Linked DNA regions of Danio rerio. The protein of the gene in region 2 interacts with the protein of the main gene of each other region in a biochemical or structural test. Links are inferred from orthologs where the notes say so. Each region holds a gene or a part of one and is shown on either strand. Other genes may lie near its edges.

The links. The genes of interacting proteins can lie anywhere in the genome.
Region 1: the proteins of ntrk2a (region 2) and bdnf form a complex in vitro, tested with the Homo sapiens proteins (3 studies listed by BioGRID). The link is inferred for Danio rerio from reciprocal best matches to the Homo sapiens genes NTRK2 and BDNF.

What each region holds. Positions count from the first base shown.
Region 1 is NC_133182.1:31,986,202-31,990,529, reverse strand, and holds the start of bdnf (brain-derived neurotrophic factor isoform 1 precursor), read left to right. Parts: upstream 1-1,510; 5' UTR 1,511-1,893; coding exon 1,894-1,896; intron 1,897-2,611; exon of another isoform or gene 2,612-2,981; intron 2,982-3,552; exon of another isoform or gene 3,553-3,959; intron 3,960-4,168; exon of another isoform or gene 4,169-4,328. UniProt on the Homo sapiens protein: Important signaling molecule that activates signaling cascades downstream of NTRK2. During development, promotes the survival and differentiation of selected neuronal populations of the peripheral and central nervous systems.
Region 2 is NC_133183.1:59,551,780-59,555,887, reverse strand, and holds the start of ntrk2a (BDNF/NT-3 growth factors receptor precursor), read right to left. Parts: upstream 2,820-4,108; 5' UTR 2,550-2,819; coding exon 2,359-2,549; intron 1-2,358. UniProt on the Homo sapiens protein: Receptor tyrosine kinase involved in the development and the maturation of the central and the peripheral nervous systems through regulation of neuron survival, proliferation, migration, differentiation, and synapse formation and plasticity.

The DNA.
Region 1 (4,328 bases), on a different chromosome or scaffold from region 2:
TCCACATGCGATCATGGACAACTAGTACATGTTTGTCTGCAGTGCAGCAAGACCTGCAAGAGCAAAACGAGTTACGCAGGGATGAATGTGAGGCGGGAAGCTCAGTCACAAATGTACAAAATTTTTATAAATAAATAAAAACAAATGAATAAATACATATTTAACAGAATATATTGCCCAAGGTACTTTATGTCACCAAAACAGTATTGTATTGTTTTGTTTCAGCTTTAGTAAAGAAACAGCTGTCCATATCATCATAACTTATTCTGTACGTAAAGACACAGAAATTACATTAAAAGTGATTTTTAAAACTTTTGGGAAAACTAGGGGAATTACTTCTTAAACTTGGAATATATTCTAGAAAGACAGGCAGACATGAGAAATGCAGTTGTGTGTAATCAGTCTTTCTTAAACAAAAGCAAAGCCATGACGAGAAAAACTAAGACAAGAAAAAGAGCCAATCTGTTTGAATTAATGCCCTGCCTAATATGAAGGGATTAATTAATCCCACTATAAGATCCAAGTCAGTCAGATTTTGTTTGCTATGTTCATTGTTTAGGGCAATAATCAATGGAACAATGAATGAATGAATGAATGAATGAATGAATGAATGAATGAATGAATGAATGAATGAATGAATGAATGAATGAATGAATGAATGAATGAATGAATGAATGAACTTAGACTTATGGGAACACAATGTCTGTTGATGCTGACCAGAGGAGAGGTTTATCTGAGAAACAGGTCTGTTGACTGATCTTTTAAACTTTTTCTCCTTTTCTTTGCTTCCAGTTCGTTTGCTGTGCGTGTCGTCTGTGGTCCAAGCATACTGTTTACTGTTGCTGTGAGTTATAAATACAATAGCGTTTCATGTCTTTTACAACTATCGGGCTCGAACGAATCTTGGCTCATATGCGGGTAAATACCACCAATTACTCATGTTACTTTTCAGCACATTTGAACACATCCAAGCATAGCGCCTCGTCACTGCATAACAATTAGATTAGTGTTCGTGCTCTGATGGAATTTTACTGATAACAGAAACGGTCGTACTTGGATTTCGTGACTTCCATTCCCTACTTTAGGTCAAGATAAAGGCGTACGGGGGAAAATAACGTTGTCATTTATTTAAGTTGACATCGTGCCTCAAGACTGAGGAGGATTCAGCTTTTTTTTCCATTTGCTATAGTACACACATAACGAAGCTCAAAACTGTATTGCACAGATGTAAGTATGGTACTTAAAACAATGTTTTTCCTCTGTTTGGCTTTCAATAGCACAGCTTTGCAGCAGCAGCAACAAGTCTCCCGAGAACTTAGTCCTACTTGGCAGAAAATAAGATTGTGAAATCTTACCTGATCTCCCTCAGCTGGGAAAACAGCCAGATTGAAAATGTCGTGAACTGTAGGCTTCGCGTAATGTTGACATATCACGCGCAATGCACGCAGAGACGCGCGAAAAAAAAGTGCACATTGCTGTCTTGGATGCGCAACTTTTCTAATGGTCATTCATTTTCAGCCAGCGTCTCGGGGTAGTTGCTGGTCAGTTTAGTTCCCACCTAAACTTGACCGCCTTCGCTTATTTCAATCACGTAAGAGCACTAACGGCGTTTCTCTGAGCGAGGGCACTGCGTAAATCTGTATAGGGGTTTTGGGTAAATCGCGACTGGTTTCTATTTGTCCTCTCGGCACAGTCGCCAAGGTGTAAGAGAGTTTAAGCACGAGGATATTGCAAAGGGTTATTAGATTCATAAGTCACCCAAGTGGTGGGCGATCTTCTGAGCACGGCAGAAGTTCTCATATGATGACTTCAAACAAGACACATTACCTACCAGCATCTGTTGGAGTGTGTGGATATTAAGACACTTCTATCTCCAGGACAGCATAGGGGAAAATGGTAAGTTGCATGGAAATACTACACTTAAAGGAATAATTACTCCAAAAGGCATGGCTTGTGTTTACACTGACTGAAGGGTTGCTTTCAGAAGAACAGATTTTGATGATGCACGACATATACGAGTGCTCTCGTGCTTATGGACCCAAACGCTGAAGGCTACTTAATCGAGGGTTCGGCTTTGCTAACGTGAATGTAAAACTTTGTAATGCTGCTGTTTTCTGGGATTCGTAGATAGAGGGGGAAAATCCGAGTAAAGCAAACGCAGCCGTAGAGAATATACATTCTAATTGGTTTTGCCTTTGTTGCTCTGTGTGCCAATCTGCGCTTTGATGCCTGTTGGGCTTTTAGCCTTTATACTAAATGTCGTTTTTACAAGTGCTCAGTGAAAAAGGCAACATGTGTAGACATGTCCATCTGCCCTGCAGGACAAAAGCAGAGCACCAAGGCGCTATTACTGTGTGATTTGGGGACACGGGTTGCAAGCCTTTTGGGGGACCCCTCTTTAGAGGGTTATGAGCGACTTTTCAGATAAGTGATTCTTTTGTTAAGAAAACGACCGGCCAACATGTGATCAAATATTAACAGGACGGGCTTGCCAAGGATATATTCACGTGACAAGGCGTGGGGAAGCAATAGAGTAAAGCAATATCAAGTGGCACTTAACGAAAGTATAGATTTTTGCCTCTAAGTAACCTTAGCTGTGCTATGATTTCAGCACTTTGGACAGAGGCACCGGGAGTCGTTGAACGCTGCGGACTAACACGGAGTGAGTGGACTTCGCCTTTTGTGTTTTGCCAAAGCTAGGGATTGTTTCACTTTTTCCTTCTTTTTTGCTCTCGGAGGGAGACCCGTGAGAAAACAAAACAAACAAACAAACGCGAGGAAAAGCATCAGTCGATAGCGGGGCTGCTTACTTTGCGCTTGGAGTTTTGTCGCCACTTAGAGCATGTGAAAGTTGAAATCGTAGAGCTGCTAGTGTACTCGTACTTTGCAATCTCCACTTGGTGCACAGCGTTAACTTTGGGAAATGCAAGTGTTGGTCTTGGAGATCTAACCACTGATAGTGGTTGTCAGCTCTTATAAAGGTAAGACCTGTTTGTTTTATTCTCCACTTTACTAGCAGCCCCTTCTCGGGCAGATGTTTATCTATCTGTACATAGCGAAATTGATCCTCTTTTTGCATTTTAACTCTACGGACAGAGAAAATGTAACGCTGTGAGGAAAAGCTTTGGGTTGTGATGGGAGAGAGAAGACGTGAGTCATGAGGGAAATGTTAAACTTACGTTATCATTTTACATGTTCCTTCTACTTTGTCCGTATGCTTTTACACCATGACTATAGCAGAAAACGGTCAGAAAGTTGTTTCAATTACCAGTCACAGCTCTGTCACAAATTCACAGAAACGGACTAATGCTTTTTTCTATATCTACAGTTGCCACATTTAGCACATATTTAATATGAGTTGTCATTTTAAAGCAACACAAATAAATAGTACATGCAAGTGCGTAAAAGCTCACTTTCCGTCCTCATCATAATCAAATGCTTGCGGAATTCTTGTTGTATTTAATGCGCAATTGTCTAGCGCACGCTTTTCTTTGCTTGCTGAATAATGGGGCATGTCTTTAATAAAATATACGACTCAGCACGAGCTACCTCCTACTTATTGTCTTGCTGAGATCGAAAAGATCCTTATCTATCTATCTATCTATCTATCTATCTATCTATCTATCTATCTATCTATCTATCTATCTATCTATCTATCTATCTATCTATCTATCTATCTATCTATCTATCTATCGGTTTAGCTGTCATTCTCGTCATCCTTTCTGATCAGCTAAAATGTTGTTTTCGTTAGCATGGAGGGATAATTTATTCGTTGAATCGATCCTAAAGTGGTGCAACCAGCCTTATCAAACTAATCGCGTCTGTAGCATCTCCGCACTTCGTCATCGTGGACATATTGCTAGTGTTTTTACTACGGACCGCTTCTCCGTTTCATTCATCCCGAGATTTCCACTCCTCTCCTCCAGCATCACCTGCTCATCTCGCTCCCCAGCGCACAGGTCTGTCTGTGCACACGCCGAACAGTTGGGAACCACTTAGAGCTAAAAGCTTTCGCCACAGATAACATATCATGTTAAAGTATTTTGAATTGCCTCGCCAAAAATAGCCCGATGGCCAAAACAATGTGTGTGTGTGTGCGTGTGTGTGTTCATATATATTTCCAGTTAAAGTGAATAAGAATTTGGATAGGCGTGGTCAGATTTTGTTCAGACTGGGTTAGATGGAGCCACCGATAAGATTGCCTGATAAGGAAATGGCTGAGAGGGTGTCACGCGTATTGTGGAGAAAACTGAAGAAAAGCCGTGCAAGACTGAGACGAAATTAGGACAGTCAGCGTTTTAAAGGAGCCTTTCGCTGATGAATTTCTG
Region 2 (4,108 bases):
TTCTGGATCCAGTTCTTTGCAAAAAGGCAAATTTGACAGCCCAAATAGAAAGACAACAAACGGCATGGGCTACAAGGACAAGCAAAGATGCACTGATTCACACTGAGTTCTGCATTTTGTTGTCTATTGATTAAAAGAGCTCATATACTTGTTTGCAAGTTGTGTTGTTTGAAAGTAAAATTAGCTTTTGTTGCATATTTTACAGTTTTTTTATGATTGCTTACACACTAAAGTTTAACTTTTGCCACAACAACCAAAACCGTACACTCAAGGAGCAAAGCACAAGGCTAGATCAGCTTAGATTGCAAATCACTAAACACGCTTGTTTGCATTTGACACAGAAATTTTTCATGATGAAATTTCCTTGCAATTTCAAAGCAAAGACTGATGCCAATTGGTTAAGCACAGCCATCAGATGTGCAGGCACACTGGTGCAAAACTGTAGACACACCAATCAGCTGGAACCACAATAAAAGGCAATGGCTATAAACTATTAGTCTTCATTAATTACGTTTACAGTAGCATAGCTATAAACTATTAGTCTACAATAAATATGTTTACAGTAGCATAGCTATAAACTATTAGTCTTCATTAATTACGTTTACAGTAGCATAGCTATAAACTATTAGTCTACAATAAATATGTTTACAGTAGCATAGCTATAAACTATTAGTCTTCAATAAATACGTTTACAGTAGCATAACTATAAACTATTAGTCTTCATTAATTACGTTTACAGCAGCATAGCTATAAACTATTAGTCTACAATAAATACGTTTACAGTAGCATAGCTATAAACTATCAGTCTTTAATAAATACGTTTACAGTAGCATAGCTATAAACTATCAGTCTTTAATAAATACGTTTACAGTAGCATAGCTATAAACTATCAGTCTTTAATAAATACGTTTACAGTAGCATAGCTATAAACTATCAGTCTTTAATACGTTTACAGTAGCATAGCTATAAACTATTAGTCTTTAATAAATACGTTTACAGTAGCATAGCTATGAACTATTAGTCTTCAATAAATACGTTTACAGTAGCATAGCTATAAACTATTAGTCTACAATAAATACGCTTACAGTAGCATAGCTATAAACTATTAGTCTTTAATAAATATGTTTACAGTAGCATAGCTATAAACTATCAGTCTTTAATAAATACGTTTACAGTAGCATAACTATAAACTATAAGTCTACAATAAATACGTTTACAGTAGCATAGCTATAAACTATTAGTCTTCAATAAATACGTTTACAGTAGCATAGCTATAAACTATCAGTCTTCAATAAATACGTTTACAGTAGCATAGCTATAAACTATTACTATTCATTAAATGCGTTTACAGTAGCAAAGCTATAAACTATTAGTCTTGATTAATCATTTACAGTGTAGCGATATAATGAATATAGGGATTCAGTACTGTATATAAAATCAACAAAGGCATAACAGTAAAAAGCAAAGCTTGTGCATCCTAGAGGATAATATTTAGATCATTTTAGAGTTGATTTGTTTTTTTTATATCAAATGGTGTCAGCGTTTAATTTATTTAAGTGTTTACAGTGTATCCAAATTACTGAAAATATGGATCCAGTGCTGTATATAAAATCAACAAAGGCATAACAATAAAGAACAAAGCTTGTGTATCATAGGGAATAATATTTAGATAATTTTAGAGTTGATTTGTGTTTTTAATCTCAAATTGTGTCAGTGTTTAATTCATTTAAGTGTTTACAGTGTATCCGAATAACTGAAAATATGGATTCAGTACTGTATATAAAATCAACAAAGGCATAACAATAAAGAACAAAGCTTGTGCATCATAGGGAATAATATTTAGACAATTTTAGAGTTGATTTGTATATTTTTATCTCAAATGGTGTCAGTGTTTAATTCATTTAAGTGTTTACAGTGTATCCGAATTACTGAAAATATGGATTCAGTACTGTATATAAAATCAACAAAGGCATAACTGTGAAAAACAAAACTTTTACCATTTTTACATTAAAAGTTATTTTAAAAATATAATAAAATAAATAAAGTGCTAATTGCAAAAAACAGAGTCTTGTGCAATAAGCAGGGTGTTTTTCTGAACATTTTGCTACTGGTTTTATTGTATAATTTCGTTGAATTGTTTAATTGGTCTTTTTTATCGATTAAGCCTTGTGCAACATAAAGGACACATAATTATACCTATCTGAGATATTTTTGGCTCAAACTATAGCAGGGGCAAATAATTTAATTGGTTTGAAATCGAATTTCTAATGAATGTCAAACTTTACCGCGGTTAAAAAACCGGAGTAAATCCAATGTATCGCTTTTGTTTCAGTGTATATGACCCCCAGCATGACTTACATGTCAGTGACGTTCTCCATGTCCGCCTCGGACTCCAGCTTGGGGAAAGCCATAATACTGCGCTCCGCGTCCACGCAGGAGATCCGCAAACCCGTGCACGTGCAGAGCTCCGGACAAGCGGTCGCGGGCCTCCAGAGCGCGAGCAGCATCACCGCCCAACCGAACCCGCAGCCCGTCATGCCGAAGCTCATCCCCGGGTCCTCACCTCCAGATTTAACGACCCCCGAAAAAAACCCGGAGTCTGGAGACGCGCAGAGCCGGAGCAGAAAAAGCAACAGCGAGTGACCGTATATTCCTACAGAACGAATGCCCGAGATGCTGCGCTGAATGACGCTCGGATGCGGACTGAAGACGCGCTCTGGAGACGCGCTGGATGATGCGCGCGTCTGAGGGGAGGAGACCAGCAGGACACATCAATCAATCCTTCACTCACTCACACGCGTTATTGACCGCCTGACAACATCCTTACACTGATCAAGGCTTTCTTTATAGTGTATCAGTGCTGTGAGGATGCTTTTTTGAGAATCTCGTGGTTACTAATTAGCACTGATCATGTGGTTTAGGTAGAGTTGTTGTTGTGTTTGCTGCTTCGTGAGGTGAACGGTTATTTGAATGCATGTATATGGAGGAATGAGTTGCGCTCGTTGTTTTTCTGTGTGTGTTTGTGTGGAACTGACTCACTCGTCGTCGGAGAATAACGTTCAGGTTCAAAGGCAGAAAAATTGACTACAGCTAAAATGACGCGAAATGGTTCCCTTTGGGATGTTTTTATTTATTTATTTATTTATTTATTTATTTATTTATTTATTAAACTAATTAATAAATTTAATAAATTTTGTTTTATGAAGATGATGATAGCTTATGATAACCTAATTTTAATTATTATTTATTTATACTCTGTTCTGAAATTTATAATTCATTCATTCATTTTCTTTTTGGCTTAGTCCCTTTATTAATCTGGGGTTGCCACAGCGGAATGAACTGGTAACTTATCAAGCATATGTTTTATGCAGCCCTTCCAGCTGCAACCCATCTCTGGAAACCATCCATTTACACTCATTCACACTCTTACACTACGTACAATTTTAGCCTACCCAATTTACCTGTACCGCATGTCTTTGGACAGTGGGGGAAACCGCACCCGGAGGAAACCCTTGTGAATGCGGAGAGAACATGCAAACTCCACACAGAAATGCCAACTGACCCAGCCGAGGCTCGAACCAGCGACCTTCTTGCTGTGAGGCGACAGCACTACCTACTGTGTCATTGCGTCGCCAAAAATTATAATAATTATTATTATTATTACTTATCATTATAATAATTATTATATGTTAATAGTATTATTACTTATTAATATTATCATCATTATTATTACTTATATATATAAGTATTAAACTAATAATAATAGTATTAATAATGTTAATATTATTATCTAAAAGTGCTATAACCTAATATTATTAATATTATTATTATTTATATGTATTACATATTATTTTTATTATTATTATCATCATTGATCTTAATATTATTATTACTTCTAAGTGTTATTTTTTATTATCATTATTATTACTTATCTGTATTAGTACTTATTATTATTATTATTAATGTTAATATTATTGTTACCTATAAGTGTTAGAACTTAATATTATTAATATTATTATTATTTATGTTTTATTACTTATTATTATTAATAATAATATGATTATTATCATTGTACTTATTAATGTTAATAGTGTTATTATATGTATTA